Linked DNA regions of Lytechinus pictus. The main gene of each other region encodes a partner of the protein of the gene in region 2 in a complex. Links are inferred from orthologs where the notes say so. Each region holds a gene or a part of one and is shown on either strand. Other genes may lie near its edges.

What was found. The genes of interacting proteins can lie anywhere in the genome.
Region 1: dynein regulatory complex subunit 3-like (region 2) and dynein regulatory complex protein 10-like share a complex: the UniProt entries of both Homo sapiens proteins name them as parts of the nexin-dynein regulatory complex. The link is inferred for Lytechinus pictus from reciprocal best matches to the Homo sapiens genes DRC3 and DRC10.

What each region holds. Positions count from the first base shown.
Region 1 is NC_087246.1:4,179,010-4,185,914, forward strand, and holds the start of dynein regulatory complex protein 10-like, read left to right. Parts: upstream 1-3,901; 5' UTR 3,902-4,234; coding exon of another isoform or gene 4,235-4,337; 5' UTR 4,338-4,855; coding exon 4,856-5,767; intron 5,768-6,448; coding exon 6,449-6,682; intron 6,683-6,905. Other genes in the region: two pore channel protein 1-like, read right to left, coding at 4,235-4,337. UniProt on the Homo sapiens protein: Component of the nexin-dynein regulatory complex (N-DRC), a key regulator of ciliary/flagellar motility which maintains the alignment and integrity of the distal axoneme and regulates microtubule sliding in motile axonemes.
Region 2 is NC_087254.1:18,110,670-18,118,544, forward strand, and holds the start of dynein regulatory complex subunit 3-like, read left to right. Parts: upstream 1-4,867; 5' UTR 4,868-4,957; intron 4,958-5,703; exon of another isoform or gene 5,704-5,754; intron 5,755-7,499; 5' UTR 7,500-7,564; coding exon 7,565-7,724; intron 7,725-7,875. UniProt on the Homo sapiens protein: Component of the nexin-dynein regulatory complex (N-DRC) a key regulator of ciliary/flagellar motility which maintains the alignment and integrity of the distal axoneme and regulates microtubule sliding in motile axonemes.

The sequences.
Region 1 (6,905 bases), on a different chromosome or scaffold from region 2:
TTTCATCTATTTCTTTTGTAGAAATCGTTGTATTGCCCTCAATATTACAATTTCTGAATGTGCACATTATTGATGCAACCAGCCCTTGCACTGAGCCCTTTATTGTGAGGGTAAAGTACGTTTTTCATGGCACATGGAAACAGTCATGGAATTCAATTATTTTTTAAGTGTGCCTTGGCAATTTCAGAAGGGCACCACAGCATTGAGAGGTACACTTTACATACTGTACTCAATATAAGAAAAAAAAGTAATTTAAACAGAAGCAATAAAGGAATATTCATATTATAACAGTAGGAAATTAATTAGTGGTCTGTATTATGAGAGATCCCCTCTTATGTTTGTATGAGTTTTTTTCTTTGTCTTTCATTTTCATATTTTCCCGATAATCTCCATAAGCCCTTGTTCAATTTCTTTTGTCAAGGCCCTGTTAAACTTATTTTGGATCAGCAAGAATCAAGCAGAATCAGCTAGAATAAAAAAAATATAAACAAGTGGAACGCCTCTGGCAGTCTCGCCTGCATTACGTAATTCGAAATAGCAGCAGTGCTTCCTTTGAAAAAAAGATATTATGTCCATTGACCAAAAATGACCTTTGACCATGATCATGTGTCCTAAGGATTGTGCAAAACTATCATTCATACTTGATTACCCTTATGTCGATGTTTCATGAGCAAGTACCATAAACTCGTAAGTTATGATGCCATTTCAACACATACTCCCAACACGGCCAGAGTTCATTGACCTTTATGACCTTGGACCTTGGCCATGTTCCTGAAACACACACAGGGTATTCAGGGATACACTGCTGCTCTTATGTCCAGGTTTCATGAACTAAATCCATAGACAATTCCACAAATACCCCCAACATTACCAAAGTTTGTTGACCCTAAATGATTTCATGAGGCACACCCCCATCAAAAAATAATTTGAGTGCCCCCCCCCCCCCCCCCCGGGACCCACTCCTTGCCCTTTCTTGTAAAGCGCATGACCCATGCGCAATTCGCGTTCGCCATTTTGGATTCGGCGATGAATTAATACAAATTTGGTACTGCGAACTGGCTTCAAATCACCGCTGTGTAGATGAATGCAATAGAATCCCTGGCTTCGTGGAGAGTAAGCATACGTTAGTAAATGATTTTTACTCTCTAGAAGCCTCCTGGCTAACCAGACCGATCTCGTGTAGATCCCTCAATCCATTTGTAAAAAATGCAAATACAATAGGCTTGACCCTTGAACCACTTCATTATGACGTACCTTCGACAAGCGATGTTACAAAATGCCGTTTGAAGAACAATTTATAGATAAAAATTATTATTTAACAAATAATGAAATTTGAAACTTATTTATAAATAATTATTATGATTATCTATACTCACGTATTAAATTTTATTATTTGTTAAATAATCATTTTTATCTATAAATTGTTCTTCAAAATGGCATTTTGTAGCCTCAAGGCTAGTGCGCAGCCACTCACATGTATTGCGAGGTTAGTATACTAATACTAATGCACCTATCAATTGTAAGATGCACCCCCGACCCCCGGGAATGGTGTGTCATGGTAGGGTCATTTACCAACAAATTAGTGAAGCAGGGTACTGTCATAGAAACATTTGGTCCGTCACAGTTTGAGGATTGGGGTGCGTTAATGTCAGTCATGTTACCTGGGTGCGTCATGATGCCTCAGTGATACAAAAATTATTAAATTAATATATATTTTATATATCTTTCATTATGAACTCCCGTTCTCCCAGAAGAAATATAATTGACAAATTATTCCGACAACGTCGGAAAGGAAAATAAAACAGAATTGAAGTTGGTAACATCTCAGATTAGTTGGCGATCTATCGGGACATGTTTTTTAATTATTTTGAGGTGCTAACGAGTTAAAATATATTTCATATATATACCTTTCATTACGACCACTTTCTCTCCATTAAGAAATATTAAAGACGCATTTTCTCTTCAATGTTGGAAATGTAAATAAAACAAAACAGAAGTTGGAAACATCTTAGATTAGTTGGCAATCTATCAGGACATGTTTTAAAATTGTTTTGAATGGCTAACGAGTTAAATTATATTTTATATATCTTTCGTTATGAACTCCCGTTCTCCCAGAAGAAATATAATTGACGAATTATTCCAACAACCTCGGAAAGGAAAATAAAACAGAATTGAAGTTGGTAACATTTTAGATTAGTTGGCGCTCTAAGGACATGTTTTAAAATTGTTTTGAGGAATTAAAGAGTTAAAACATATTTCATATACCTTTCTTTATGACCGCTTTTTCTCTGTTAAGAAAAATATTAGACGCATTTTCTCGAAAATGTTGGAAACTTAAATAAAACAAAATAGAAGTTGGAAATATCTTAGATTAGTTGGCAATTGATCAGGACTTGTTTTAAAATTGTTTTGAACGGCTAACAAGTTAAGACATTTTATATAAGTTTCGTTATGAACTCCCGTTCTCCCAGAAGAAATATAATTGACGAATTATTCCAACAACCTCGGAGAGGAAAATAAAACAGAATTGAAGTTGGTAACATCTCAGATTAGTTGGCGATCTATCAGGAAATGTTTTTAAATTGTTTTGAACGTGTAACGAGTTACACTGTCAAAAACGAAGTGCTAATTTAGCACTTACAGTGCTTGTATAGTGACTGCACTATGAGCATGAGTGCTGATTTTCTCGTTCAAATTTAAACTAGAAAATCAGCACTCGTAGTGCAGTCACTATACAAGCACTTTAAGTGCTAAATTAGCACTTCGTTTTTGACAGTGTAAGATTTATTTTATATATCTTTCGTTATGAACTCCCGTTCTCCCAGAAGAAATATAATTGACGAATTATTCCAACAACGTCGGAAAGGAAAATAAAACAGAATAGAAGTCACAAACATCTCAGATTAATGAACGAATGATTGGGATATGTTTTAAAATTGCTTTGAGGTGCTAACGAGTTAAAATCTATATTATGAACTTTTTCGCATGAACCCTGGCCTTGATTTCCGAGAAGAAATGTAAATGGCGCATATTCCCGACATCGTCGGAAAGGAAAGCGTTCCCTTTGAGTTCGCCTCGGCCTCTGCTATCACCACGAGGTTGTATTGAAGAGAAAACATTGTCAGAGACTATAGCGAAATACATGTATCGCGTTCCATTGCATTTAGCTCGATTGTGCCCACGCAGCACTTGCACGCACGAGACATCACACTTCAGAGTCTAGTCTGAATCTGACTTTTTACTCTGACGAAGGTGCGTCAGGGAGACGGTCATGGTTGGTCAAAATCTTGAACTGGTGCGTCACTTTTTTCTTTCTTGGCAGGGTCATTGTAAGTAAAGGTGCGTCATTGTTAAGACACACATGTGCGTCACGCACCACACCACGTACCATAAAATCTGACTCACGTTTGACAAGTGACGCACCCTTCCCGGGGGTCGGGGGGTGCGTCATACAATTGATAGGTGCATAAATACTGGTGCGCAGCGGCAATTTTCCAGAGAGTAGGCAGTACAAAAAAGACTAAAAAACTTCTCTCACTCAGCTCAACTCAGTCTCTGCTAGCTGCTTACCGGTTTTACAATACACTGGACTAGAGTCTAAACTCTATTCTTCATGTTTCACTGGCTATTCCATATCCAAAATGAAAAAAAAAACGTTTTAAAATTTCTCCAGACAAATTGTTTTGCTGTCTAACTCTAACAAACACAGGGGCCGATTGCACGAAAGGGTCTTTCCAAGGACCGTCTTTCGTGTCGCCCATCTTTTATGATACGCCATGTGAAACGCATTTCAAATAAATTATCTGCAAATATATTTTATTTTTCCGTTAAAATAAACAAAATATTTGTTTATAAAATGATGTGATATTTCATGAAATTGTATAAAATTTGATTTAAAAGCAAGCTTACGAATTTTATTTGTTTATCATAAATTTCAGAAACACCCCGCTTATAGCGCATCATAAAAGATGGGCGACACGAAAGACGGTCCTTGGAAAGACCCTTTCGTGCAATCGGCCCCTGGGTAATTCGTAACGGCTAACGCGCGCAGGGCCGAGTCGCAGCTACAGACAGACAGTGTCAGTGACAAGGGGATTGTCAATGCAGTGCAGTGCATTAACACAAGCAGACGCCGAAGAGTTGAATTTGAGTCAATTAAAACGCAATTAAACCTATATCACGACTGTCACATTGACTTCAAATACTACATGTATCTACAGGAAGTATTTCTCACCACTCCTAACTGTTCTAAAGCTCTGACTTGGCTGTTGTTCAGCCAATAAAGGACTCTCAAGTTCTACTGAGACACGATTTAGGTCGTCCTCCAATTCCGCCATGTTTACATCCGTCAGCTGTTATTCTCGCTTTTCGAGGTGAGATTTGGCGAGATTTCGCTACACCAGTTGACCCCTTTCGACCTTTTCTCGGAAGTCACCAAGCAACGAAACCGTATTACACAAATACGAGCAAGCGGATGGATAATATTTCATGTTAAAAACTTACCATTTTGTTAAGCTTTACTATTTTTCATTACCATTTGTAATGTAAAGTCATCGAATTTTCGCAGATTTGAAAATACTCAAAATCGGAACAGATTTACACGGCAATTATGTGAGGCTTCATTTTCCCTTCGCGGAGGAATATTTACAAACAAGATTTGTGGTGCGGTTACTCTATTTACGTGTGTTGTCTATGAGATCGAGAGTGCTGGAGGTTCAGGAGGAAAGAACAAGTGTTTGTGGAAACAAATGTGGAATTCTGCATAAACTTTTGAGAGTTCAAATTAATTACCTTACCTAAAATTCAATCTGTGTAGTTTTTATCCGAGAGGTGGAAATACGTAACGAGCTGCAAGATGTCTTTCGCCGACATGGCTGTGATGGAGACGTTTCGTCTGCTCGACAAGGTTCGAGCTGAGGGTCCAAAAGAACGTCCAGAAAGACCTAACATAGATTTTCCACAGGTCAAACCACACAAACCGAATAAGCCAAAGGAATCAAAGAACCAAAGAACCGATCCTCTACGTATCCTAGACCCTGGAAGGAAGAAACTTACAACAGTTGAATCACAAAGAATTTTGGCAGTATTGGACGAGAGCATCAAGAATGCTGAGGTTGTAAGCTTGCTACCTTACGCTTGTGAAAATGTCAATCGTTTCAGCGTTGTTCTTGGTATCGAGACAGTTGTTACTATACAGGAGCATGAAAAGATCCAGAGTGCATTTAAAGATGCTGCAAAAAAACTTAGCGATTACAAAAATATGGACAAAGTCGAGTCTCGAAAATCTACCCCAGCAGCACGCGCAGCTGAGTCTGAGATACAACCCACCAATGATGATGAAGATAATTATGATGAAGTTCAGATGATTGAGAGCAGGAGGCAAACTCCATCCGATAGATTAGACAAAGTTGACTCAATTTCACTTATTGATGAGGAAGAAGTGCAGCTTTCAAAAATGGTGAATGTTCAAGCGCAGCAGTTGAAGTTTTCATGTAGAAATATCCTGCGGTTGCTGAGCTTGAACCCAGCAGCAGTCAATGCCCTGAGGTCTGAGATCAAAGAGCGAGGCCCAGAGTCTAGTTCTATGATTGGATACATGAAGGATCTGAGATCATTTATTCTGGAAAGACTGCTTACCACGCCCTTGGAAGAGAAAGAGAAAACAGATTATCTCAGGGAGATCACAATCAGGGAGCATAAGAATTCTGATGTCATCAAGAAACTTTCTGCTGAGCTACAGGAGGCAATTGAAGATAAAGACATGAAGGTATAAAGGGGAGATTCGAAACTTCTTTTCTTCTTTCTCTAATTGACATTCCCTCTACCTACTTGTATCCTATTCTTTCTCTTTCTAGCCCCCTTCCCTCTTCCATTATTTGCTATTGAGTAGATCTAGCCTACTAGTATTGAATTATGCCTGTCTGAAGGGCTTTTAAAACTTTGTTTTTTGGGGGAGGGTCTTTTTGGATTCTCCAATGGAGGAGGTGTAATAAAAGCAAGATCCCGGTACAGTGCATGTAGTCTAGTGGAACAGCAGACGAAACCATGACTGAAGCTTTTGGTCTGCTACTAGACTGCTAATTATTCCTTTTCTTTTTCACTTTGTTTATATATTATCATCACTTTTTTCTTTAAAAATAATTGCAGAAACTGTCTTAAATTGGTCAAATTATTTTGAGATTTGGATACCTTTCACACAACATTAGATATTTTTTTGACTGCTGACTTGAAACATGATCAATGCTTTCAAAAAAAGTAATTGCCTTGTCCTTGTCTATTGTTTTTTTTTTGTGTGTGTGTGTGGCATGCAGAGCTAAACACTGGCAGTATATTGCCCATACAAAACAAATCATAATTTTCAATTTTATTGTCAAAAAAGGAAAATCACTAGATTAAATATTCTTTATTGTTCTACTTTTTTTTTTTTTTTTTTTTTTACGTTCTACAGATCTCCAAACAAAATGATGAAATTCGTCGACTAAAGGGCGACCTCCACCAGTTAGAGAAATTCTCTGAGGAGCACATCAGGAGAACTAAATCAGAAGCTGACAAACAGCAACAGGCAGACTTCAAGAACTCTGAAGTCAAACAGACCAAGTTACACTCTGATCTTCAGGGTCTACGTACCCAGCTGACCAATCAGACATCAGAGCACAGAGAGAGCGAGTTAGCTTTGAGAAAAGTGAGGACGATTTTCATCTATTTGTAGATTTTGGGATATAAAGCAGTGGGAAAAATCAGTTAATTCAAAATACATGTAGCCCATCTGATATTTTCCTTTTTTTTCTATTTATTTCATCCAAGAATAAAATGTATTTTGTTGAAGACATTTGGTACTCAAAAATTTCTCTTTCTTAAAAAAATTCTACATGTTATATTAGTCTTTTTCAAACAGAATATGTATT
Region 2 (7,875 bases):
TAAATGGAGGGGTACTGTTTATAATCCAAACTAGATTATGCTCATTACCACTCTGGCAAAATATTGCATCAGATAGACACTAGACAGACGTGTTAGAGTTAGACTGAAGAATATTCTAGAGATCCAGGGACCGAGGGAGTGGTGATGACACATTTCGCAATGTTTTGGCCTGTTGGGACTAGTCGTAATTCAGACGTAAGCGCAAAGCATTAATTGCTTCTGGTACTCAAACTCCAGCAGGCAGCACCACCAGTGCTTCCACTCTTGACTCTTCCTGGAATTCAGGAAATTCGAGGAAGTTTTGTTATTTTCCAGGATCATTCCAGGATGTGAGAAATTCCAGGAAGTTATCATTTTCGGGAATAATATTATTTTCTGAATATTATGTCAAAATCTATCACAAAATTGGATCTTTTTAATTAAAATGTCAAAAATTTTGCTCGCTCGCAACTCTTTATAAACTTAGCCTGTTACGTCATGTTTCGCCCCCCCTCTAAATATTTGGCTCACTTACGCGGCACTGGGCCCTATATTCAATGGTATTTCATTTGTTTTTGTGTGTTTATAGAAGAGAATTATGACTTATTAAAGACTGGAGAACATTCGAAAAATTGCAGGATATTTTGTAAAATTGCAAGTACGGTACTTTTCGAGTAAATTCCAGGAAGTTCCGTTTTGAAAAGTGGAAGCACTGAGCACCACTGATATCTGAATAGTAGGCCTATACAGATCAGTGGGCAGCGCCCAACACTTGGGGGGAGCAACGGATCGCAAGTTTCATTTCATTTCCACAATTCCGAAACGTTAGAAAACGTTGATATAATAACATAACGCTAAATAGGGTACTAAAAATACAAAAAATATTTTAAAAAGAGGAGGAAAAAAAGGACCTCCCATTTTGAAGATGAATTTGATCAGATCTAGTCATTAACTACTCATTTTCGTTTCATGGCGGTGGCCTAATATCTTTTAAGGATACTGCCTTCAATTTAAAGGCTAAACTCAGGGGCTGATCCAGCTCCCGCCAATAGGGGGGGGGGGGCCGAAATTTTTTTCACCCATATTTTCCCCGATCGGCCGCTCAATGTTGATTTTTGTTTGTTTCTTTGAAGGGGTTGTCTCGGTGGCGTAATGAGCCAGTTTTGAGGGGCTTGATACGGCATATTGTGTAAAATTAATGAGAAGTTGCGAGCGAGCGAGCAAAAATTTTGACATTTTGATTACAAAAATCAAAGTTTGTGATAGATTTTTGACATAACATTTGACAAATATAGGCATATATATCACTTATCCCTTTTCTTTTCTCCCCATTTTTCTTGGTCGTGAACAATTGGGGGGGGGGGCAAAACGCCGATATCCTAACAGTCATTTCTTAGCTTTATTTTTATAAAACAACATAAAAATGTAATAATCTCTTCAGCCCTATTTGAATAATACAAGCGCAAAGCGCGAGCTGAAATTTCATGTATTTTGTCCTGAAAATTGAATATTCTGGGCAATGTTTGTGAACCTGAACAAGATGCGTATGTAACTAGATAATTACTGCGATAGCGAAGCCCGAGCAGAAATTTTCAAAATTGGTTCTGGCTTGATCGAAAAAGGACCTGTTAAGACCGATTTGCAGTTAGCCATTAAGACGATACATATTTCAACATTTAGATAATGCGAGAGCGAAGCGCGAGCTGAAAATGTTTTGACATTGCGAGCTATAAAATTGACATTCTAAGCTCTTTTTAAAATAAACGGCATTGGTGAAAAAAAACTAAACAATTGATGCGAGCGCAAAGCGCGAGCGAAAAAAAGATATTTCAGACCTAAAAATGGGACACTCTATTCATTTTTTCTAAATCATGAAAAAAGAAGTTCTTACATTAATAATGCGAGCGCAAACTGGATAATTTTAGCACGTTTTGAATAAAGATCAAGCTGCATATCTCAATAAACATGTGTGCGCCTGTTTTAGAGTTAGACAGAATCTGAGCATTCTGAATACATTTAATTTTTATCATGAAAATTGATAATGTGATCGCGAAGCGCGAGTGGAAAATATTTGATATTCCGATATAAAAAGGGTGAATTTAAATACTATCTAAAGCACTGTGCAGGGAAATTGTGAAGTATATGTGGATAACACTTAATAAATGATGCGAGTGCGGAGCGCTATAGCTGATATTTTTATTATTATTCTGACCTAGGACCTGGACATTCTAAGCCTAAGGACATTTTGTCATCATATGAAAATGATGACTATCTTCATATTCCTCTTCCTAAGCGCGATATGAAACTTGTCGAAATTCCTTTCTGAAACAAGGGACAATTTAGTTATTAGGAATTCATTAAAATTTTATTATCATATTTATTAATATAATAAGCCTAATTAGTGAGTAAAAATTTGTTGATATTAGAGGCCAGAAGACTGAATATTTCAAGCACTTTTGTAAGCATGAATAGGATTTATGAGTTGATATATTTTTAACTACTAATGCGAGCGCAAAGCGCGAGACTATTTTTTTTAAACTGTCGTAAAAGGGGGATTTTGAGTAGTTTGTTATAGAATTGATATATTTATAAAGGATCTTATGGAATACACAAAGACAATATGTAGGCCTACTTGGCAAAGCAAATAATGCGAGCGCACAGCGCAAAAAGCTGCAAATGAAAATTACACCATAAAACAGGCATTTCACAGAGCACTTAAAAAAAAATCAATTTTTAAATAAAAAATAATAATAAAAGCTCGATGTCCGAGCTGAAAAAATGTATTGACTTAAAAAAACTTGATATTTTAGCTACACATCAGCCTATTGAGCAAGATATGTATCACATCGAACACGGGCTATGCGAGCGCGAAGCGCGAGCGAAAATCTTATAAAGTCACATGAAATATATATTTTCAAATTATATTCCAAGTCTTTCCCTGACCTTATTTTATTCACTCGTCTCCCTCCTCTTATTTTTCCTCTTCTTTTGTTCTCCTTTCTTTCCCCTTCTTCTTCTTTCTTTCCCTTTTTCCCCTTTTTTTTGCTCCGCCAATAGGGGGGGGGGGCCTGGATCCGCCTATGAAACGTATTTGTTAATGCGAGCCGTCTGTGAAATAGGGCCTACGTCTATTCGACTGTAATTCCTATCGACTGAAATTTGGGGATTTCTGTGTTGCCTTTTTAAAAATTATTTATTTAGATCTTTTTTTTTTGGCTCTTTACAATGGTTTGTTAGCTTATGGGAGAGAATCGTCTCGTCCCACCGTGCCGTCTCGAAAAATTTTTCAGCCATATTTTCCCCGATCGGCCGCTCGATCGTAGTTGATTATATTTGTGCCTTATAGCCACTTCTTAGCTTTATTCTTATAAATCAACATAAATATATTATACTGTCATATTCCTTGTTTAGATAGTGCGAGCGTGATCGGAGCGCGAGCTAATTTCTTTTAAAATTTCATGTAGCACCCTATTCTGTCCTAAGATTCTGAACAGATGTGTATGCAACTGAATAATTACTGCGAGCGCGAAGCGCGAGCAAAAACTTTAAATATACGTTTTGATCTGATCGAAAAGTGACATCATGCTTGCAGTTAATTAAACATGAAGACGTTACATAATTTCAACAATCAAATAATGCGAGCACAAAGCACGAGCTGAAAATTTTTGACATTTCTACCAAAATTCCAAGCACTTTTTGTAATCGTGAACAGGATAGGTAGGTTTTACATAACCAAAGAATTGATGCGGAAAAATTCGAGATTTAGACCTAAAAACGGGACACTCTATTCATGCTTTGTAAACCATTAAAATGATAAGTAATTGGGGATCTTCCAACATTCATAATGCGAGCGCAAAGCGCGAGCCAAAAATTTTTGATATTCTGATCTTAAACTGGATAATGATTTAAAAAGAGAACAAGCTGTCTATCTGAATAAACATGCGCGCGTGTGTTTCCGATTTACTGGGTATTCTGAATGCATTTTTTTTAGGCAGACTGAAATAAAAAGAAATGTTTCATCGTCTATTTTTATTTTTACATTTTATATATATATATATATATATTTTTTTTTTTTTGGGGGGGGGGTGGTATTTCTCTTCATGCTCAGGGTTCGCGAAGCGGGGGGGGGGGGGCTGGGGGGCTTCAGCCCCCACTTTTTCCAAAACCGTGTACAAAATCGTAAAAATGACCACATGATTGTGATTTTTTGCATGGTCATGCAGCCCCCCCCCCCACTTTGAAAACCGTTCCGCGGCCCCTGATGCTATTCGTACTTCATGCCAGGGGTGGCTAATGGGGCCTTGTGAGACTTCCCCTTGTCCACAACTAAATGACTGTTTCTGGGGTTTTTTTTTTTGGGGGGGGGGGGAATTGTCTGTTTGTTTTCTTGTCAAAAAATTGAAAATTGAAAATATGCCTACATCCAGTATCCAGTCCATTTTTGATACCTCAAGTCAACTTAAAGTGGAAAGTAAAAAAGTCATATTTTAATGATGATAAGCCTACTGTTAATATGACATAATATAATCATATTACAAGTAAAAAGATCAACACAGTAAAATGAATAATATTCAAAACGAAATCAGAAGAATTGATATAGGGAGAGGGGGTTAACTAAAAAGCAGATCGAGCTGCTTGTACTGTGTATGCCCCCTGTAATATTAAAATACATGTATATCATATTAATTTTGTATTAAGAAAACAAACAAAAAAACGACTTAATGAATGAAATACGTAATAAAAATCATTGATAACTATGATAGTCTCAAGTTCTAAAAAGGCAAGCCCCCCCCCCCCCCCAAAAAAAACATTTCGATAGTACAGTATTAGTCGCTATCTGACCGCGTTTTTACATACGACTACGAGCGTGCTCATAATTCCGATCGCACTTATTGGTCGCTCATTTTAATCGCTCCATGACAACAATTGACGCCACATCAAGCAGTCCGTCCGGTCGGATTTAGGCATTATTAATTCTGTAAGTTATGACATTTGAGTTATATTGAATCAATTTTGTAATAATACTCAGTATTATCGAACGGTGAAATATGTTGGATTCCTGAAAGTCTATCACGGTTGAGGTTATTTTCAGTTGATCAATAGATGGAAATATTAAGATTTTAGTTCGGTCCCACGTGCAGAAATTTTTGTAAATGTAAGGCCCACGGCCATATTCTTTCTAGAACAAGATGAATAATTGAATCAATTGGCGGAGCTAAAAAAGGGGAAAGGGAGAAAAAAAAAGGAGAAGAGAGGAGAAAAGAAAAGAAGAGGGGGAAAAAAAAGCAGGAAGGTGATGAGTGATTAAGGTAAGGGGAAGGAATTAAAAAAAAAATTGATGACGATGTCACTGAAATTCAAAGTCAAACGGTCTAAAAAAAATTTTGCTCGCCCTCACATTGCATATTCGATGGAGTACATATCTGCTCAATTAATAGGCTAATATGGAGCTTAAAAAATCAAGCTTTGAAGTCAATAATAATATGCAAAACTTATTTCACTTTTCAGCTCGGACATCGAGCTTTCCTCATAATCACATTTTGTTTGGATTTAGTTTAGGCCTAGGCCTATAGTTAGATCTACAAGTTGATTTTCAAAAAGTGCTCTGTAATGTCTGTTTTCTTGTCTAAGTATCAACACTTACAGCTCGCACTCGTATTTCAGTCGTCAAGTACCTATTCTCTTTGTGTATTCCATAAAGTTCTCAAAATATCTCCTTTACAGGTCTGATTGTCAAGACCTATTAGCTAGCGCTGCTCAGTCGCATTTTGATTGGTGAGTAATGTAACCGGTACCTCTATAGTGTTAATAACAAACTATTTAAAATTCCCTTTTCATGACAGTTTATCAAATAGTTTAGCTCGCGATTTGCGATCGCATTAATTATTAAAAATATATATTAGCCCATGCGTCCTATTCATAATTACAAAGTGCGTAAAAGTCCAGTTTTCAGGCCTTAATTTCAACAAATTTCATTAGGTTTATTACATCAAAAAATAAGATAGAAACATTTTCATGACTTCCTTATAATTAAATTATCCCTTTTTTCAGAAGGGAATATCAGCAAGCATTATTATGCACTTAGGAAGAGGAATTGGTAGACAGTCATCATTTTCCATATGATGACAAAATGTCCTTAGAACGTCCCAGTCCTAGGTCAAAATAATAATAAGTTTAATAAAAATTTTAGCTCGCGCTTTGCGTTCGCACCATTTATTAAGTGCGATGCATATCCACTTCTCAATTTTCCTACTCAGTGCTTGAATTAGAGTTTAATTGACAACTTTTCAGATTGGAATACCAAATATGTTCAGCTCGCGCTTCGCGCTCGCATGATTGATTTTCATGATAAAAAATGTATTTAGGATGCCAAGATTCTAAGTCTAACACTTGCGCACGCATGTTTATTGAGACTCGCGACTTGTTCTTTATTTAAAACATGCTTAAATTACCCAGTGTCAGATCAGAATACCAAAGAATTTCTACTAGCGCTTCACGCTTGCATTATTAATGTAGGAAATACCCAAATTACCCATCCTTATCATGATTTACAAAACATAAAGAGTGTCCCGCTTTTGGGTCTAACTCTCTTTTTTTTTCCGCTCGCGCTTCGCGCTCGCATTGTTTAGTTATATACATATCCTATTCATGATTGCAAAAAGTGCTTAGAATGTCCATTTGTTCAGGTCAGGATGTCAAAAATTTTCAACTCGCTCTTCGTGCTCGCATTATTTGATTGTTGAAATATGTATCGTATTTATGGCTGACTGCAAACATTCCTTAACAGGTCCCTTTTTGATCAGACCAGAAAGTATACTGTACGAAAAATTTCTGCTCGCGCTTCGCGCTAGCAGTAATTATGTAGTTTCATACGCATCTTGTTCAGGATCACATACATTACCAAGAATATTCAATTTTCACGACAAAATACATGTAATTTACCCAAAAAAATAGCCCGCGCTTCGCGCTCGCACTATTTAAATAGAGCTTATGAGATTATTATATATTTATGTTGTTTTATATAGATAAGAAGTGACTACCCCTTCAAAGAACCAAACAAAAATCAATTTTGAGCGGGTGATCGGGAAAAATATGGGTGAAAACAAATTTCAGGCCCCCCCCCCCTATTGGCAAAGGCTAAATCTGCCCCTGGTGACGCATGTCTGCGCACCTAAATATTGACTGTAAAGCGGATTGAAGATTAAACCTGTCTTTCCTTAAAATTACACAAAAAGCTTTATTTCATATTATATTTTTTCTTATATTCTGGTCAAGAAGAAGCTAGTGATATAGTGCAAAAAATAAAACTTGTCCATAGATGATCATGGACTATGGCATGCCAAATTAATTAACTTCATAAAACTGTGATTTTTTTCAGATCTTGATGAAAAGTGTGCAAAAGAGACATCTACCAAATTTCATAGTAATTTATGAATTGGTTTTTGAATAATCATATGACTTTGTCTGCACATCTATTCATTTTGCACAGTAATTGAATTTTTTTTGCCTTCTATTTGCAGATCTCTGTGACCCTGTTAGGTTGATTAATTTTCTGGTGTTGATTGTGAGAAAGTGAATCGTCAATATGAGCCGGCTGTATGACACAGTGGAACCATCCGTAGTGGATGAGATAATGCTTCAGAAAGCTGTAGAGGAGCAAGGTCCTAAAGAAGAAGCAGGAAGAATAGCCAAGGCTGAAGGAATAGACTTTACAGATGTAACACAGCTCAGATTAGACTTCAAAAGTAAGGAAGTGTGTTCTGTGCTTTGAACATTGCCAACTCTATAATAATGTAAATTAATTATCTTATTGTCCCTACTAGACTTAAATAGTAAGGAAACATGTTAAAGGGGTTCTATGCTTTGAACAATGCCAAATCTGTATACTAAATTTGA